Lepisosteus oculatus: one gene and its partner. The protein of the gene in region 1 binds, or shares a complex with, the protein of each later gene. Links are inferred from orthologs where the notes say so. Each region holds a gene or a part of one and is shown on either strand. Other genes may lie near its edges.

Region 1 (9,476 bases):
GTGATGGTGTGCTCAGATGCAGCCGGGTGAGATGCCGGCTTCATCAAGGCAAGCTTTGCATGCAAACTGTTTGGAGCACAGCTCAGGCAAGCCGTCGGCAACACCCTCCTTGGTGGAAGTGGCTGGAGTGTTCTTGGAAGCTGCTGGCCAGGGTGCAGGGAACATCTCTTAGTGCTAGAGCAGGCTGACGTCGACACAAAGCTTAAGGCTGAAGGCGCTGCTGGTCCCATCATCCTGCCCAGCTCATAACGATGTGCTCTGTTCAGCTCTGCTTCAGACAAGAGGTGTTGTTAATCACCTTGGCCAAGAGACCTCTCAGTATTCACGCAAAACAGTTAAATATTTTGTTCTGAGAGGCACGTTTCTTAAAGGAACAGGGCCATGAAATAAACCCTGGCATTCCACAAAAGAGCAGAGGGTTCAGCCCTGGCTTCCTGGCTGAACTTCAGTCTGGGATCTTGCAGAATACCTGAAGCTCAGCCGTGAATCAAGTTTCCAGGGAATGCACGTGCAAACAGAGAGGAGACGCATTTAGTCTTGAAGGCAGGAGAAAGTGGTACCTGGAACAAAGAGCAAATTAGCCGTGTGGCTGGAAAGGACTTGTTGGACTTTACAGAACAGTGGAGGAGGAGGAGGAAACTGCTTAACTACAGCAATCAAGGAAAGTAGGATAGAAAAAAGTAGAACAAAGCCACAGTCCCAGTCGTTGCAGAGGGGAGAGGTGGCTCTGTGGCTAAGGATCTGCGCTGCAGAGGAATCCTTCTCCCTTGGGCCCCTGAGCAAGGCCCTTAATCTCAACTGCTCCAGGGGTGCCTTATAAATGGCTGACCTGCCAGCTTCTCTCCATGTCTGTGTGTTTCATGGAGAGTGAGCTGAGGTATGTGAAAAGACAAATTCCTAATACAAGAAATTGTATATGACTAATAAAGTGATCTTATCTTATTGAGTTAATACGTTTTGGTTATAAACAATCAAGACAACAAGTGATGTCTTTTTCAAGCACACTGGGAACAGATTTCCACTAGCATCTCATAAAAATACATTCTAAGTGAATTAGAGGCACATAGGGACTTCCAGCACTTATGTGTGCAGCTCATTAGATGCTGCAGACATTCAGTACTGGCACCCCTGGGTTTAGCTCTGATTGGAAGCAGTACACACACTGCAGTGCTTCAGTTTTGTTGTGTGATACAGCACAGCAGGAGGCATCTCATACAAGAGAAACAAAAAGCGTACAGGAGAAGTACACAAAGCGTTGTGGACTTCAGGGCTCAGGCCTTTTCATGACATTAGCGCCTGTGGTCTGGGCTCTTCAGCATGGCTGCACCCATCTACACCAACGCAGCCGTGACCAGCAGAGAATCCTCTGGGTCTTTGTTGTGCTCCCATTGCAGCAATAACAGCTCTGGATCAAAGGCTGAGAGTCCTCCCTGGAAAGATCCTTCCAAGACCTGTGCTGTCGTCTGCCCAGGGGCACGTGCTTGTGCCTGCAGCAAGGCCAGGGGCGCCCCAGTCACATCTCCCCACCGAGCTGCTCACAGACCAGCCACGACCCGCCAGCAGCTCATCCTACCCTGGGATCGGACAGGGGATCATAATCCAGTCTCAGTCTGGTCGCGCTGAGACACCAGTAGGCAGAGAGGCGTTCCTATGAACCAGGAGCACCAGCCTGGACTTCAGCCCATTTCCCACAGAAGAGTTCAGACGGATTGGCATGTTCCTTTTTAAAGAATGAACCGTTCTTCTGGAATCCAGTTGTATCTCTGAGCATCTCAGGAACCACAGCGTGCAGGTCAGACCATGAGTATGTCATGATGTCTTTTCCTCTGAGCTTAGATATTAGTGCAGACACAGCTGACTTTTACCTTTATATATCTCAGTAGCCCAGCAATATTTTCTGACCCTAATAGCAGTGCTTATCTGCTCTGAACTATTGTTCTCCTTAATTAAGTTGGTACGCTGCCTATTATGACTGTGATTAACCCACTTCTCAGAGTGCTCTGCAGTCTCCAGACACCCCACCGACTTGCTGAGGTCCGATCTCCTCTGGAGGCTCACTGTGCCACACCTAACAACAGGTAAGGCCTGTGAAAGGGATGAACTGCGGGGATCAGAGGACAAAGAGCAGCACTTTAGAATCCTGCCTCTCCTGCTATAGAGGTGACAGACAGAACCTGGGTTTTATTACCTCTGAAACACACTGCGTGCTTCAGCAAGGGACCTCACTTCACTGGGCCTGGATTTCCAGTGCAGTCGAGGAGACACAGTGAGTGTGTGCCCCCTAGTGGCTCAGATGTATCACAGCAATCCCCAGAGCACTCCTTGCCCTAGCGCCAACATGACAATTGGATTTCATGTAGGTCACCAGCTGGCCTTGTAAGAGCTGGACCCGGTGAAACAGGACAGGTTTTGCAAAACTGAAATAAATCAATGAGCAAACTGAGTGTTAGTTCTTTGCCAGACAGTGCAATCATTTTCTTAATTACCATTAGGTAGCACTAAAATACAACATTCGCACGTGAAGTGGCAATAGAAATAGAAGATATCCTGAATGTGATGGGGTTTTTTCCCTCTGTTTTAATTCCTTCACTAATATTGGCAGTTATCCACATTATGAATTAGTCCCATGCTGAAAAGGAAAGCAAAAGAGACACAAAAGTCTCGTGTCTCTGATCTTTTCCTTTCAGCATGGAATAAACCTTTAGTTACCCACCTGAACTTAGTGAATGTGTCATCAACTTCTGTTAAATGAAATCTATTACCCTATTTTGCCCAAATTCTCCTCCTCCTCCAAACCCTAAAAAAGCACAGCCAGAACGTGATGGCAACCATGCCCAACGTGCTGTTTTGCTTTGACAGCTATATTGCGGTGTGCTTATTATTATGCAACAGCAAAAAAATCAAATTCATAAACTTTACCGTACAGTCTGAAAGGACTCGTCACTTCGTTCACATGACCTGTGACATAATAACATCTGAAGCAACCCAGGCCAGCAGTATTCATCAGCCCAGCTTCCTGTGACCCCTGCGGCCCAGTCAGTGCAGCCTGCACCAGCTGCTTCGGAAATGGAGTTTGATTTGAACTACTGGATCATGTTCAGAGGCTTTCTAGATCCCCCTAGCAGAAGCACCTGTCTCTAACTCAGAAGTCCTGGAGCACTGTAAGCTTCATCTGAAGTCTGGGCAGTGTGAGCCCAGTGAGCCACAATGATTCTGCAGGTCAAATTCAGGTTTGAAAACCTGCGATCTTAGCATTATGAGTCTACAAACGTCCCTGACGACAGGTGAAGGAGTGAGAAAAAAGCTGAAATGAAAGTCATGCACACCAATGGCAGCAAGACCATAGCCTGGTTGTCACATGACACCATTTCCTGAGGTGCCAATGGGGCATATTCAGGATCTCTGAATCTCTGCCCCAGCTCTCGGAGAGAGGAGCTGACGTTCCGGATCACTGTCCCATAGTGGGGCAGAGGGGCAGATGATCCAGATCTCCAGCCCAGCGCTGGGGCAGAGGGGCTGTTGATGCAGATCTCCAGCCCAGCGCTGGGGCAGAGGGGCTGTTGATGCAGATCTCCAGCCCAGCGCTGGGGCAGAGGGGCTGTTGATTCAGATCTCCAGCCCAGCGCTGGGGCAGAGGGGCAGATGATCCAGATCTCCAGCCCAGCGCTGGGGCAGAGGGGCAGATGATCCAGATCTCCAGCCCAGCGCTGGGGCAGAGGGGCAGATGATCCAGATCTCCAGCCCAGCGCTGGGGCAGAGGGACAGATGATCCAGATCTCCAGCCCAGCGCTGCGGTAGAGGGGCTGTTGATCCAGATCTCTAGCCCAGCACTGGGGCAGAGGGGCTGTTGATCCAGATCTCTATGGGGTGTTAACATAAGACACTTAAGAGTCATTGAGACAATCTGTAGGATGGGACTGAAGAAGAGGTTTATTCACCACCTGGCTAGCTATTAGATGTCCACAATCAGGTGATCACAATATTTTCAGCTGTCCCACGGGGTTGTTCTTTCAGTACCTGACAACTTTCCCAAGACCAGGACACATCGTTGACACGCCCAGTGACACTTCACACTCGCGCCACTTCACCCCGCTGGGTCACGCGTCCCCCTCTGCTCTGCAGCTCTCCTGGAAGAAACACGGGACTGGGAACTGTACAGGGAGACCCCGCGTAAATGCGGGGGCACAGTTATGCGGCATTTATGGTAGCGATGCCTTCATCTGAACACGAAAGCGAGCAGATGAAACCGCATGATTGTTCAAGAATAAAGGAAGCACTGGGCTTTTAAACGAGACACAGCCCGATAGAGCCAGGCTGTCGAGGAAATTCGCTCGCTCTTCAGCGCTTTCCAGGGATTGAGTCCATTCCTGCACTGCCCAGGCAATGTGGAGAGTCTGATTTCCTGGACAAGTTTTACCATTAAGAACAGTGTGGAACTATGGAGTTCGGGAATTCATTTTCGGGGGTATTGTCAAAGGCGATGCTTAACAACGCGATTTAATCTCGTTTTCGCTTTAATTTTTCCGGGGGGTAAATAGAGAACAACGGAAACGAGTTTAACACGACGGGGTTCATGAGAACTAGAGCAATCTTGTCAAGAGGAGATCCATGCTCCCGCCCACCACGAATACTCTCAATACCGCCGTATACTCCAGTATTGGCGGAGATCGTCATCCGATTTTCGACCGTCGCCTGCCGTCTAACTCCTCACGGTGCTGTTAGAAAGATGTGTACTCGATAGCCTATGTGTTGCTACCGTTCTACAACAGAAAGTGATCTATCTGACTCGCCTGCAGAGTCAGTCATGGTATATAAAACCTCTGACCTACGGCCTGACGCTCTGCTTGTGGAGAGAGCCTGGTACAGTAATTCAAGTCCATCAGCAGTGCGGCTTCACCTGCGCGGCGAAATCGCGGAGGCCACAGGTTGGCGTCGAGCGGCGGGCGGCAGCGGTAAGGCATTCATTTATTCTCTCAAACCCCGACGCACTTGTTACTCGGACGGATCGTGCCAGGGGGACATCTCGGAGAAGTGTCAGCAGCTAGAGGACACTGGAGCGAAGCCCGTTCACGGCCCTGGACAGTCCAGCCCCCGGGCGCGAAGGTGATCCTTTGCAGTTTTCTTTTTTAACCGAAGTTCGGAGCAGTCGCTCGGGAAGCGTTAACAGGGTGTCTGACCCAACTGAAACTCTGTCTCCCTCTCCCCGCGTCTCTCTATCTCCCTCTCCCTCTCCCCCCGCGCTCTCCCTCTCCCCCTCGCTATCTCTCTCCCTCTCTCTCTTGACTTGGTGACAGACCTAACAGCCTTTTGTTGCGCTCGCAGCCAATAGAGGCGGAATACGACACGGAGCAGCTGTGATATAAAAAGAGCCCTTTTTAGACTTGCCTGCACACCATTCATTCACACATCTTCACACGGAATTCTTGATGATTTTAATTGTGTCCGGCTCTACAACCAAAACAAACCGATAAATCAGCACTTCTGAACGAGCTAGGGCAGCGAGCGCCGAAGAAACGGCTGGGCGCACCCTGCGGCGCGTTTATTATCATCGTTTCTCATAGTTAAGAGCGTTAATAATCGTTTAGCACTGTTAATTGGAGTATTGGGATTGTTGCTAATTACCGCTAGCTCTGTAGGGACGCGGTAGGGGCTGCAGTCAAGAATACGGACAGAAGTCACTTGTGAGAAACGAAGTGAGGAAGAGCCGGGAGAGAACACGACCTCACGCTGCCCGGCATCATGCCCAAGTCTCACTTTCTTCTGTGTTTGATGGCACTGATTTCGCTGCGACTGTCGGGCAGTGACGAGCCCAGCCTCCCCCTGCGGCCGGCGAGCGAGGTGCCCACGGAAGCCGGGGATCCTTTGGCAGAAGCGGAGGATCCGGGCGCGCAGGAGTGCACGGCGTGCGTGTGGAGGGAGCACAGCAGAGTCCTCAGGCTGGAGACCATCAAGTCCCAGATCCTGAGCAAGCTGCGGCTCAAGCAGGCGCCCAATATCAGCCGGGAGGTAGTCAACCAGCTGCTCCCCAAGGCGCCGCCTCTCCAGCAGCTCCTGGACCATCACGACTTCCAGGGGGACGCTTCGCTACAGGATGAGTTTATGGAGGAGGACGAGTATCACGCCACCACCGAGTCCGTGATCACCATGGCTTCGGAACGTGAGTGTTCGCGGCGAGACCTCTCTCCCAGCAGGTCCCCTCGGGGCGCGTTAGTTATTCCAGTCTTTGCTAGCGGTGCGACTTGCGGCTATTGAAGAAATACCCCCCCCCCCCGCTAACTTTGAGAGAAGCCTGACCAGCAGAGCCGGGCAGGCGGCGGAGTCCCGCACTTGCAGTCTATTGGAGTCTGTTAGCTCTTCCGTTCCCCCCGTGTCAGCTGGGCGCCTGTCAGATTGCGGGCGCGGGATTCGTGAAGGGGACACTCCGCACGCAGAAGTCAGTTTTCCTATGTGTCCCTATTGAAATTTGGGTCGATAAACTGATGTGAACTTGAGAACAAAATGTATTTTTTTTTCTGCCCGGTTCCGCCGTTGTAGTGGAGTCTCCAGGAAGATCCCTTTTTCCTGGGAGTCGGACCCAGGCTGTCCCCACTCTGTGTCTGTCATCTGCACTGTGCGCGTCCGTGTTGCTGGACTCCTCTGGACCAGACGCATCAAACTGCCTTAATTCCCATTTTGACTGTGTAGGAAAATGCCCCCCTCTTTACAGAACAGTGTTCTAGGCTGGTCGTTTTCTGCGTTGCTCGGATTTTGTGTACTTTGGTACGAGCCTTAATTTAATTTGAGCTTTCAATCTCGTCAGTTAATGCACGGAACACAGCCTAGGTACTAAAAAGAACTTTGCCGGCAATCTTCTCTGTCATGTTGTGTTCAGACCCGTCATCGCCGCACACAGACGCGTCTGGTACTGTAGTTGCGCATCTACTGAGAACGGCACAGGCCGTTCATTTTGCGGGCTATAACAGGTGTGCAGGTTGTCCGTTCGCTGCCTCTTCATTTAGCGGCCTTTCTTTTCGTCCCACAAAAGACGACGAGTTTAAAGCAAGCGAGCAGGACACGAAGCCTCCCGCGTCCCCGCGTCCAAACCCACACCAGGAACCGCGGGAGTGCGAACCAGTTTCGCTCGTTTTCGGATACGCGTCGCGGTTGGGCAAATTCGCGTTTGAACCCCCTCCTCTCTCCCATATGCGGCTTGTTTAAATTGTTTGACAGACCGAGAGCGATCATTTGACGCCCCTTCAAGCGGGCCGTCCGTATCGGCTACGCCGAGAAAGCCTAATCCTAACGACAATGTAAATGAAACCTAATTACATCAAGCGCAACAGATGAAGAAACGTCCAGGGTTAGGGGTCTCGCAGAGACGGGCCATACTGCAAGTTTTAGAAACCTTACTACAGTCAACAGCTGCGCTATGGTACTCCTTTATAAGCGAGCTCTAACGGGGTCTCCCGCTGCTCCGCGCAGCGAGGACAAGTGTGTTCAAATACCCGCTATTGTTAGCTGTCGCTGCGGCGCTCTGCTGCGCTGGCCTTTTTCAAATGAGAACTTTATAGGCAGAGCTCGCTTTTTTTTTTCACTGGAGATAGCAGGGCTGAGAAAGTTGGATTCGAGGGAGTGTGTGACCTTTCCGCGGAGAATCGCTGAGGTTCGACGAGATTTACACACGTAATGTATTCTGCACAAGGCTACCCAAAAGCCGGGTTAACTAATCCTTTGCAAAAGCGAACAAGGGTAGGTTTGTGTTGCACATAACTAACTTCTACAGTGATTGTCACACAGGCCACGTTGTGCTGATGCGGAGCGCATAATAGACTCCGTATATATTTCTTCCACACAATTTCTTTAGAATTCGCACTTTTACCGTCACAATAGCAACGCTGAGGGTTCTGCAAGAGGCGATTAGCGACAACGGGAGCACGTGAACTGGAAGAACGAAAATATTTTATTAGAATTACTTTCGAGTTTTCCTCCGTTGTCATGCCACCGCCTCAGTAATTTTGTATTCTGAAAGTCGGTTTTGCATTTTAAAAATCCTAAATCAATGACGGAACTGTACTGGGTTTACGCACGGTCAATGTAGTATACATTTATTTACTGCTACAGCTCAGCCAGCAGAGAAGGACGCTGTATTGTACACAATAAACTAACGTCATAGAGCACCATTAAATCGGCTATTAGTTAACAGTAATAATAACGATAAGAACAGAAAAAATAAAAACCGGGGTTCAAATCATACAATCTAACGCGCCTTTTGCTGAACAATGTCGTTTTTAACTTCATATAAACCTGCAAGGGATTAATTTTTAATCCCGAAATAATTAACCATTTCTGTCTGCTTGTGGGTGAAAATTACGGATGATGTCCAGTGGTGAGAACCGTGTCCTCTCTTTTTCACTAGAAGATTTCACATTCATTCCTTCTCATTTTCCTTCTGCACTTTTTAGTTGGCAGAGGACTCAAAGGTTGTTGTTCTTGTAATCAAAGAGAAGGTACGAATCGGATTGCGTTTTGTCTTGGCTGTAACCTTCACTCCCCGTTTCCCCACGTTCTCCTCTGCCTGCTGAACCGTGACGAGGGACAACATCGCTGAGGACAGTTGGGGTTACAATTACCTGTTAACTGGCGGGTCACAGTCTCTGACCATCATTTCGCTTCGTCAGGAAAACCGCCCAGAAATGGGACCTGCAGCTTTAAAGATTTTTGATTCGGATTCGCATGAGCAAGTCGTACCCGCTGCCTTAGAAAATCGGTATAATTCAAGTACAATTAGATTACGGAACCAGTTCAAATGCATTCTGATCTCATTCTGCAGGCACACACTTAGCAGGGCTTGAATTGTCTGGTGGCCTGCCCCTCACTGCTGGCTCTGGAGATCCTCCCTCCCCCCCTTGGTTTTTCCAGGTTTTCATTCCACCTGAACATTTAATGACTTAATTGATTCAATTATCGACTTAACTGGCTTACATTTGCGCTGGTTCTAGGCCTGGAACAGATGAGGTTTACAGGGGAACTTTGGAACGGATGCTAAAATCCAAGTCCAGGGAGCCTCAGCTCTAATGCTTCCTCGATCCTGATGTCGTTTCCTCACCTAAGACATGATAAATTCTAAATATCACACGCGATGCCTCCTCCTGCCCATCTCCCCCTCCTCTTCCACAGGGGGGTCCCAGCCTCTCGTCCGGTGCACAGGGAGGGTCAGCCCTCAGCCAAGCAGGCAAAGCCCGATATACTGTGACTAAGACTCTCAGTAAACCTTCAATGCGCTTAATTCTTAATTCTGGGGTGTGGTTCTTCCTGGTGAATTGAGAATTGGAAGTTCCATGCAGGCGCTGGGGTGACTCACGTGTCTCCCCCACTCGCATGAGATCAAGGTCTTTTCGGTCTTCCCCTGAGGTCAGCCCAGTCTTCAGGGTGTAGTGAAGCCATAAGGGTGGGGCTCAGCTTGGGCAGTCTCGGCCCGGCTTCGACTGTGTCGTTGC
Region 2 (10,588 bases), on another chromosome or scaffold:
CTAATGTTCCCCTTTAACTGAAGCAATTTCACACTCCTCCACCTGAACTGCTGTCTTGTGGAGATGCCGATGCATGATGACTACTGTCACATACTGTAAGTGGATGCCACACTTCTGAGATGGATGCAGTGGGTCTCCTCCTATATACTGTATAAAAAGAAAGCATGCTTTTACATTAATGCCATTAATAAATCTCAATATCCATTATGATTGGGATCCATCAGTATGAAAATTGCTACATATAAATGCAAGAAATTGCTGTTTTTATTAATTGTTCTGGTATTTCTAATCAATGTTTTACTTTCTTTATGTGGAAACACAATTCTACAGTGATCGGAATTTTAACAGTTTTTATTTATGTTTACAATTTGTCCTGAAAGAATTTCCTTTTAGCTTAGTGGATATGCAGAGAGTAAAAGTTTAGCTGGTGAGATGGTTTTGAAGATTTTTGAAGACCAATATGAATTTAAGATGCTAAAAGCCAAGCTTAGTTTCTTACCAAAATGAATATGAATAAAGAAGAGTTAAGTTGTTAGCACAGTTCTAATAGTTGAAAACATTATTGGAAGCTTTGAGTAAATTGTTGATGATATCTTTACACATGGTAATAATGTTTTGACAGGTACATACGGTATACAGTATGTACAGAACCATATTCTTACACAATGTAGACTAAAATGTCAATAATAGAATGAATTTCATATATCAAAGATTATTCATATGTGCTTCTCCACTTTTTCTGCAAGCATCACATTTTGCAAAACACTCTGGAGAATGTCAGTAAATAATAAACTTCTAGTTCAGTTGCTTCATTTAAATCCAACATTCCACAACATTAATTTTGGATTGTTCAGTTCATTTAAACAGTTATCCAATAGTTAAAATATAGATGGATTAATGATATGGGTGATCAATCCTGTACTCTGCCATTAATACAGTATATCAAAAGTCCTCTAGTGTTAACGGTTACCTACTGTATTCATACAGTATATAATACCTTAAAGGAGTCATTAAATGTCATTATTGAGTTTAATTATAGGCACTAGACAACCTTTTTGTTAATTCCATTGATTGTGAACAAAGGTATTTTCTATAAAATGAACAATGTTGACACCTGTTTATAAATGTACTGTAGGTAGGCTAGCCTGTTGCTTATAATATGATTACTGGACTAATGTAATTAGTGTGCTTTCCTTAGACTGACATTTTACACGGCATACAATGAAACAGTTCCAGTGCTTATACAGTAATATTAATGGTAATGCTTACTTTTGGTTTTTATTTCTGAAATGTTGAGTAATAACATTCTGGGACAATTATCTAGGAATAACAAACATGTTGTCAAACAGTGTTAAATGAGCACGTAAATAAAAACAGATCAATGTTTTGTTGCCAGACACCTTTGAGCATATTATGCATTTGGCTTGGCAAATAGCACAAGGACATGTGATAAAACCCACAAAAATAGCTCTCCCAAATATGAGTCCACAAAAAAAACAAGAAAAACAAGAAATTCAAAAGAAAAGCAATTGAGGTCTTTTCTGCTAGCAGTTTTCTTTCAGGCTTACTGTTCAACAACCATTAAAAGATACTGTTGGAATCTTTAAATCACACATCTAGGTGAAAGCAGAAATAAATTGCTTTTTTATTTCCTCACAGCAGCTCTTTGAGGTGCTGCTAAGATGGGGTCAACATAGACTGTATAGGCTTTAAGCTTATTTTCCTTTGACTGATGGTGTCAATTTCACTAAGGTTATACTGCAATATTATATTTTAGGAGTGAGATAGTGCCATTATTTCTCTTTACTGTTACTCACTGAGAATGAGCAAGTAATACACTAAGTAGAAACTGAATGTAATTATTTTGAACAGTTTATTTTGGCTATTTAATTGATAAGTCATTACTGTACAGCATGTCCAAATATGAAAATTGGGCAGAATACTCAAGAAATATGCATTGAATGTCTAACATTTACAGTAGCTTGGTTTGCATCACCCATTGAGTACAGTATAGGATTCAACCCCACATTTTTGGGACTGTTATAAGGATAACTATGATAACGTGAGTAAATGATTCTGCAACTCTATAATGGTCTTTTCAGTTTAAAACCATAAAAAAACTCTTGTTGCTCATTTTCTTTTGGAAAATTTCAGCAATGGTAATTAATTTCCTATTTCAAGAGCTCAATGGGAAAACAATATACAGAAATCAAAGTTGCTATTAATTTGTAAAGAAGAAGTAAGTAAAACAATCTTACACTAAATGTCTTAATATCATTTTCTACATGATCTCACTCTCATATTTTTATTTTCTTTCTGTTGCCAACCATTACAATACAGGAATATAATGAAGCGGCTAAATTATGCAATTGTATTTGCCAAGTGCAACCACTTAGTTAAAAACATCATACTGAACTGCCTGTAGCAGGTTTAGCATATACCCCACAGTATACAGTATATCATCTACATTCAAAAGCATTTATCAAGGTAAATGTATTCATAGACTTGATTTAATTGTATACTTTAGGCACTTTATGCAATAAGAACTATATGTCTCTACACATTTGCAGCAAAGTGGCCATCCATCTCTTGCTTGTGCCCTTGATTATGCTGATGTCATGTATTCAATTGTATCTCAAACTTGTCTTCAGACAAATGGACATTAATTTATAATCCAGTGTGTTGATTTGTTCCATAATGCAATTATAAGATACACATGTAAGGTATTCCAGTACTTTTCCTTTATTTTGTGTATACCATCTCATATGTTTGTCCACCTTTCTTTAATAGACACAGTTCACATTCTCCACACTGTTTACATTCGTTTACAACAATAATTAAAAAGTCACATTAGCTACATTTTCAGGAATTCTAAAACATTTCAGCATGTAACTATTCATGTTTTTGGAATGAAAAATAAGCAAGGCAGTCTCATTTTTATGATGGATACAATACATTGCATTTTGAGTTTTTCCATTAATGTATGGTTATGTCCAAAAAGAAAAGGAAAAATAGATATTTAAATGAGTTATATTTTAATATTTTAACATAATTAGCAACCTCTGATTTTTTTAAACAAAAGACTGATTTTCTGAAAATTGTTAAATTTGACAGTTTGGAATTCTTAGTTAATTATGTATTGACTAAGAACATATTCCATGTAACTATTTCTAAAGATTACTCTATTACTAGAAAAACAGCATGTATGACATACTGTATACCAAATTGGTTTATGCATCTGCATTGTTTCTGGGAAATGGTTTCTCTTCATCTTGAATGCAAGCAATAACTGAACCTCAGTGCCTCCTCTCAAGCAATAGAGGATACCCCTGGACACCCTCGTCAAATCTATTTTTAATACTTTTGTGGGTACATTTTCTGGATTGAATGGTGAATAAAAGTTAACTTCATCATAGAGGTATTTAAAGCAATCTTTGGCTGAAAATTATTTTTAACATCAGAAAATTTAAAAGAAATGCACATGCTAAATCATTGACAGATATAGAATATTTGCTATTGTTTGTTAAGTAATGAATTGTTATTTCAAATGCACATTATGAACACCCAAGAATGGTCACCACATCTTAAGGCAAGAATGACCTGAATTTATAACACTGCAGTATTGGTTTGGTCATTTTCATGTCACAGTATTCTGTAACAGGACCTCTGATCATACCAGTATGACTGTTTTCATTAGATGCTCCTCTTGCTATTGGAATGTGCATCCATTTACTGTACATACAGTACTTGTAAAGGCTGGAGTGGATGAGCACCTGGTGTAAACCTGATCTCCACATATGGTGTGATTACATTGGTAAAAAAAAAAGCACAGAGGAAAATTTTACTGTTCCATAAAACATGCTGGTGACTTCGCAGGCTATCAGATGTGTTCTGACTGCGATTTTTGTTTGTTTTAATGTGGCAGCGATATGCTCTTCCTTGATCAGTGTCTTGCTCGTTCATATTTCAACGCGAGTATATAGTTTACACATGCAGTATAACTTGCCTGTAATATGTATTTCTACATAAAGTGTTGTTTTTTTTCCGTTTAGGGCGAGCTAAACTTAAAAACCAACTTCTCATGACTTCTCAGCTGACAAGCGCGCATTTTAGATTTTTGATCATTACAGTACTACCGGCTATATATATTTTTTCAAATAATTAAGTAAAAATATAGTGTTAACTCAAGAATAATTACTGAACACACCCAAATTTATTTTCTAACTGGAGATGCACAATTACGTGTTTTAATCGACAGTTTATCAGCGAAGGTCTTAAGAAAAACACGTTGTGTTAGAAAAACATTTATTGTGTTATTTAGTTTTGTCGTAGAAGTTAAAACTGTTTGTTCCTTTTAAACAAATTATATTGTTTTCAACGGGATTTTTGCGCATATCACATTAAAAAAATATATTATCGATGTTATAAGCCAAAAGGTTTAGATACATTAAAACACTGCTTTACATAAAAACATTCTAACGGCTTTACAGGGGAAACACCATTAAAGCATTGTCTAAAGAAAAAGATGTACAGTAGGTCTGAAATCTGGAAATTCATTAATACAACTTGACATGATCTGAAAATAAAACCAAAATCCATCAGTCCATAAGCTTCTTTTAAGCACATTAGTGCTTTGAAATGACAATTGCAGTTTCCTTGTTTACCATTTTCCATCAACAAACTGAGGATTTTTAGCATTTCATTCCAGTGGGGAACCCCATGAGCATTCAAATAAAAGTTAATATCACGGCACCAAATTATTTCTGGTTCTTGTTTTCGTATTAATTCACTGTCACATAAACAAATTCATTTAAAGCGTTAGGCCTTACTGGAAAGGAGATTTTTAATTATGTTTCCACAATTTCCGTACCTTTTAAACACACATATATATACATTTGTTCCCCTTAAACTACAATTTGCCTAAAACAATAATTTGAACAAACAAATAATAGGTTTATTCCATGGTGAAAAGAGAAGAAAACACAACGTTTCGGCCGTGAAGCCTTCTTCAGGTGTCAACGTCAAACGTTGTATTTGCTTTTTTCTCTTCTCAGCATGTCATAAACCTTTACTTGTTCCTTTGCAGCCTACGCTTGCTGACGCAGCTACCCACCTGAATTGAACAAACATATCACACTTGGAATTATATCAATTCCTCTAGTAAATAATCATTGTCTGAATCAAATTAGACTACCGACAGCTAGCATCTCTTGGGTTCTGTTCATATCATTTAATCTTTACTGTGCAAACCTCTGAAAATTATTTAATGTTACGTACCACTAGGTGTTATATAAATTATTCTAAATTCTACATATCATGATAGTCTAGACCTAGATGTGACCTAAAATAAGTTGTTTTCTCGGATCAACCCTTCACTGGCGAGCATAAATTACGTGTGTGGGGGGATCCATAACACAACTATGAGCAAAGAAAGAGTAGCATATTTCTTTTACTCGTTAAAGATGTAGTACACATTGTCTGCCGGTAGAAGGAACCCGACCCGTTTTAATCGAAAGCTGACTTACAGCAATTGGAAATACCGCACACAGAAAGAGCAGCGAGTCACTGTGTGCGTGTTGCTGAAGAGGTCGCACGTGGACTTAAATCGGAACATAACAGAGGGTGCATTTGCTTAGAAACAACTATTGCTTAATGTATATTCGCTATGTAATACAATACTCCGCTTGCTCTCAAACCTATTTGGAAACGGGGATGGATAAACTTGAGAGCCTGGGTCTGAGAAACCCAAACAACTGTCTCTTCTAATATTAGCATGCCTGTATTCTGTGATCTATTATTGTCGGTCCAGGCAGATCTTATTGTAATACAGCACTTTTATTAAAAGATTAGCACTATCTTCTGCAGTTGGTGGAAAGAATATCTGTTATCACCGAGATATTTGCAGCTGGGGGAAAGTGGGTAGACCCAAAAAATCGATTGGCATTCTTCGTGCGGGGATTTATTCAAAAGGCATGGAGTTCAGGAGGTGCATAATCTTGAAAAAAGTACTGGAGTAAATAGCGTCTACGTTAGGCAATTTTTGCAGAAATGTCGCCCACTCATTTTCATAGCACAGTGCCAAGTATGTTGTAAAGAATGAGCACTCGCCTACATAGAGTAAACAAAAGCCAGACGGCTGTTAATAAACCTGCATTATAATGAAACGAAGTAATGTCTTTCGATGTTGCAATCGTAAAACCAAGGCGAAACTGCTTACAGTGATATAATATTCAGTAGTTATATTGTAATGATTTTTAGATGGCTGGGTGTTATAGAAATCTGGTCATTTTGAAGAATTTCTTTTTCAGAGTTGGGATTCATTTGTTGTTGTTGTTGTTGTTGTATAGTTCTCTTAATGTAAAGTATTCATATAAAACTATTTTTAAAACTTGTTTTAAGTTAATACCATAAACCTTCAATTTTAAAAAGAGATTTATTTCCTAATATTATTGAACATAAGAAAAAAAATCATTTTCTAATGTAAAACATGTGTAGGTGTTTTAATTGACCTTAGTTTTAATGTCAGTTATTAGGCTATATCATGATAAATATAGCCTTGCAATATCTTCCACTTTCATTATGGGACGGGCTTGGTATTCTTTCACATTGTATCAAACGCAGACGCGTACATACAGTACACAACATCCCAGACCATGCCCACTGTGCATAGTTTCCTGTACTATTGTTTTGAGAGAAAGTTTCGACTGGAGATGTCACCTGATTTGGATCGAAAGAACTTTTTTTTAATCTTACTCCCCACCCCCACCGATTAGAAGACCGCCCACCACAGACAGTCGGCCCGAGACCCCTTATAGATTTAAAAAGAGAGGCTGCATTCACAGACTGACATTCATTCAACTCAGCGATCGTAAGCAGATTACTTTTCCGCTGCCTGTTTCTTCACTCCGGTTCACTTTGCCTTCATCATGCTAAGGATGCTAAAGAGATATCAGCTCCACCCGGGCATGATTTTATTATTTATATGGCTAAGTCATTTAATTGAAGATCACAAAGTGCAAGGTAAGTGCGAGTATACAGTTATTTTTAGTAGTACATTTTAGTTGGATGCCATTTAATATTTTGAAAGACATTTGTATGGTATAAAAAATAAAGTGTCAGGTTTAAAACTTTTTCAAGACCTAACGGGTATACGCAAGATCACTTTGTATTTACTTTTAACTTTGTTCTGAACATGCAACTCAGCTTTATCTTAATGCATTAAGCGCTAACAAAACAGGTGCATTTCTATTCGTTTTTAAAATATGTATTGAATATTTGGATATTCAAGCTTTTTACCTGCATATTATATTTCACTTGACTAACTAGCCAAGCATCGGTTTATGGTAGGGTATACTTGTGCTGGACTATAAATGAAGCACTTTAATATGTATAACAGCGATAACTGTGTTTTTAGGCTTCAGATTTCCTGAAGGAAACTTAAACTGGAAAGAATAATACAATTAATACCAGAGACATAACACGTGATTTTAAGTCTTCTGCTCTCCCTGACAGTCAATTTATCTAGCAGCTCTAAATATAAGCTTCAGTTTTCAACTTTTTTATTACCCCACTTTTCAGGCAGTTGTATTAATAGACTTTACATGAAGTCTGTTGAGTCTCGTTTTGTTGGAAGACAGGAATAGTAAATAGCCTACAGATCTCACGACCCATTGAAGCTGGATGAATTAATTGCCATTGAACCAACAGAAAAGTCACATTGCTTATTTATTGGTAGTGAAGTCCCATTCCTTTCATACAAGAGCTAGCAGTGTAACCGCGATCCAAGTAGGTCAACTCGTCTCATGAAACACAGCAAAATAAATATAAACCTTGCGTGACTCGGAAAGTGTACTGCAATGACATGTCCGCCGCGTTGCACCGACTGTATGGTAATGCTGTGACTAGCAGTTAATCTTCCCAAGTGTTGAAGTAAATCCGACACTGCTGCTTTCTTCAGTGTGCTCTCACACAGAGTGCACGGACAAGGGGGATGAAGCGCAAGTGTACAGTACGCTACACATGTTTTGAAAAGCAAGTTTTCAGCTGTTAACATTTCATGCAGTGTTCTTTGTTTTAAACTGTAATTAACACCATCCATGTGATTGCAGTGGTATCTCGACATTTTAGCATTATTAACAAAACCCGTGTGATAGTAGTTGTATCTTGGTGATTTTAGTTTCTTCAATACGATTAATCATAATTTGATTTTAGGCTGGCTTTACACTATTGTACTGTGCTTTAGCATATTATTCATGCGGTACCTTGTCCCCCGTACTGTGACTCGTACTGTCCATTTGAAATCTGGTTTAAAACAGACGCGGTAGTATTGTATTGCTTTTTCCGATTTGTGTAGACGGTTGTCGTAAGGTAGGTAATCGTATTGGGATCTGACTTTGCAATTGTTAAATGTCTCGTCACGTTACAGAATCAGACAAAATACCGAGGATAAACAGACCACCATAAGCCAATATACAGTAAGCTGCACGTGTTATGTCTGGGTCATTGGCTTCCGACTTTAAGTTCTTTTTCTTTGCAGCTGGTAACTGCTGGCTACAGCAGGGAAAAAACGGAAGATGCCAGGTTCTCTACATGTCTGGGATGAGCAGAGAAGAGTGTTGCAGAAGTGGCAGACTGGGAACTTCGTGGACCGAGGAAGATGTACCAAATAGCACGCTTTTTAGGTGGATGATCTTCAACGGAGGAGCCCCAAATTGTGTACCTTGTAAAGGTACATGAAATTAAGCCCAATATATTACTATCGATGTACAGTGTATAGCAGTCTTATTAAAAAACGATTAAGTGCCAGATCAATAAATTTTATGAAGATAGCAAAGCTAGTTTGTGTATTTGTGAATAAATAATTTCATTTGGAAATAATTAATAAAAACGTGAATTCCAAGGTCATTACCCTTTTTCAATAGCTGCATGTCATTTATTGTGTTTTATTTGTGTAGAATCTTGTGACAATGTGGACTGTGGCCCTGGAAAAAGATGTAAAATGAACAAGAGAAACAAACCCCGCTGTGTCTGTGCTCCCGACTGTTCCAATGTTACTTGGAAAGGACCTGTCTGCGGGTCCGATGGAAAGACCTACAGAGATGAATGCGCCTTGCTGAAGGCAAGATGTAAAGGTCATCCAGACCTGGAAGTTCAATACCAGGGCAAATGCAAAAGTAAGTTCCTTAGTGTCTCTTGTCTTCCCCACTAAAAGATGCTGTGAATGCTAAGAAGGAGAAAGACTGTGGAAATGCACTGTTTGCAGTTGTGTGGAAATACACTAATGGTGCATAGGTCATGCCTAATAATATAATGGTGATGTTGACGATATTCAATGATATTAAACAACATATTAATAAAGAAGTCCCTTCTTTAAAAAAAAAACAACATGATCTACTTATAATTTGACTTTCTTATAGAGACATGCCGTGATGTTCTGTGTCCGGGCAGTTCAACGTGCGTCGTTGACCAGACCAATAATGCCTACTGTGTGACATGTAATCGGATTTGCCCCGAAGTTACATCTCCAGAGCAGTATCTGTGTGGAAATGATGGAATCATTTATGCAAGCGCTTGCCACCTGAGAAGGGCTACTTGCCTGCTGGGCAGATCAATTGGTGTTGCATATGAAGGAAAATGCATAAGTAAGTTATTGTCAGGTCCCATGTTACAATACCGAACTCTTCAGATCACTGTTTTGACACCTTTAAGTTTGTCTTTCTGCATTTCAGAAAAAAAGCCTCTTTTTAATCCTAATGAACATGAAAGTGCATTCCATTTTGATAGAAAATGTCTAGTTATAGACATAAGTAATATTTAAAAAAAGTTTCATGTCCTCAATTCACCCCCCAATTTAGTCTGCCACAGTTTCTCATTTTCAAACTGTTTTTTGTTATACATACCTGGGGTCATATGATGTTAAAACTTTAAAATGTTTTCCAGACCTTGTTGGCTTTGCTGTTATTAGTTGATTTCCATGTGTTCTGTCCAGATGCCAACACCCGTCTTACTACCACAACATGTAAGGGAGTAATTATGAATGGGAGACCTGGAGCCTCGTTATGCTATCATATTACATTGGTCTACATGCTTGTTATTTTGGGGAAAATATATACATGTACAGTATGTTTGTATATATGTATGTGATGGCACATCCTGATTCTATGTGATCTTAGGACGACAGTACATGTATGCCAAGCTCTTTTTATAAAACATACCCTCATGGCATACTTACTGAATCCCTTTATCTCTGTCATAAAATTAAGCCAAATCCTCATTGCTTTTAATTATATGTGGTGTTTATGAACATAAAGGGCAGTTTGCTAAGGGACTCTGTGGTGTTCCCTGGTTTTGTAGAAGCGAAATCCTGTGATGATATCCAGTGCAGCGCTGGGAAGACGTGTCTATGGGATGCAAGAATGGGCAGGGGACGCTGCTCACTGTGTGATGAAGTGTGTCCTGAGAGCAGATCAGATGAGGCAGTGTGTGCCAGCGATAACACCACGTACCCCAGCGAGTGTGCCATGAAGAAGGCCGCTTGCTCTGTGGGCGTTCTTCTGGAAGTTAAACATTCTGGATCTTGCAACTGTAA

The links.
Region 2: the proteins of gdf11 (region 1) and fsta are in contact, whole or in part, in a crystal structure (PDB 5JHW), measured with the Homo sapiens proteins. The link is inferred for Lepisosteus oculatus from reciprocal best matches to the Homo sapiens genes GDF11 and FST. Residues at the interface, in NP_005802.1 of Homo sapiens: Asn299, Leu300, Gly301, Leu302, Glu310, Arg312, Asp328, Trp329, Ile331, Ala332, Lys334, Arg335, Tyr336, Lys337, Tyr347, Met348, Phe349, Met350, Pro354, His357, Gln361, Ile380, Asn381, Leu383, Phe385, Asp387, Lys388, Gln389, Gln390, Ile391; in NP_037541.1 of Homo sapiens: Leu34, Arg35, Gln43, Val44, Leu45, Tyr46, Lys47, Thr48, Arg60, Ser62, Asp72, Asn73, Leu75, Phe76, Met79, Ile80, Leu134, Asp135, Arg149, Gln153, Pro154, Glu155, Val180, Val181, Asp182, Gln183, Tyr188, Val190, Thr191, Asn193.

The regions. Positions count from the first base shown.
Region 1 is NC_090696.1:14,592,021-14,601,496, reverse strand, and holds the start of gdf11 (growth/differentiation factor 11), read left to right. Parts: upstream 1-5,341; 5' UTR 5,342-5,739; coding exon 5,740-6,157; intron 6,158-9,476. UniProt on the Homo sapiens protein: Secreted signal that acts globally to regulate anterior/posterior axial patterning during development. May play critical roles in patterning both mesodermal and neural tissues. It is required for proper vertebral patterning and orofacial development.
Region 2 is NC_090698.1:38,664,291-38,674,878, reverse strand, and holds the start of fsta (follistatin-A), read left to right. Parts: upstream 1-6,770; 5' UTR 6,771-6,926; coding exon 6,927-7,020; intron 7,021-8,536; coding exon 8,537-8,728; intron 8,729-8,954; coding exon 8,955-9,173; intron 9,174-9,416; coding exon 9,417-9,641; intron 9,642-10,353; coding exon 10,354-10,584; coding exon of another isoform or gene 10,585-10,588. UniProt on the Homo sapiens protein: Multifunctional regulatory protein whose primary function is to antagonize members of the transforming growth factor beta (TGF-beta) superfamily including activin, myostatin, GDF11 or bone morphogenetic proteins (BMPs).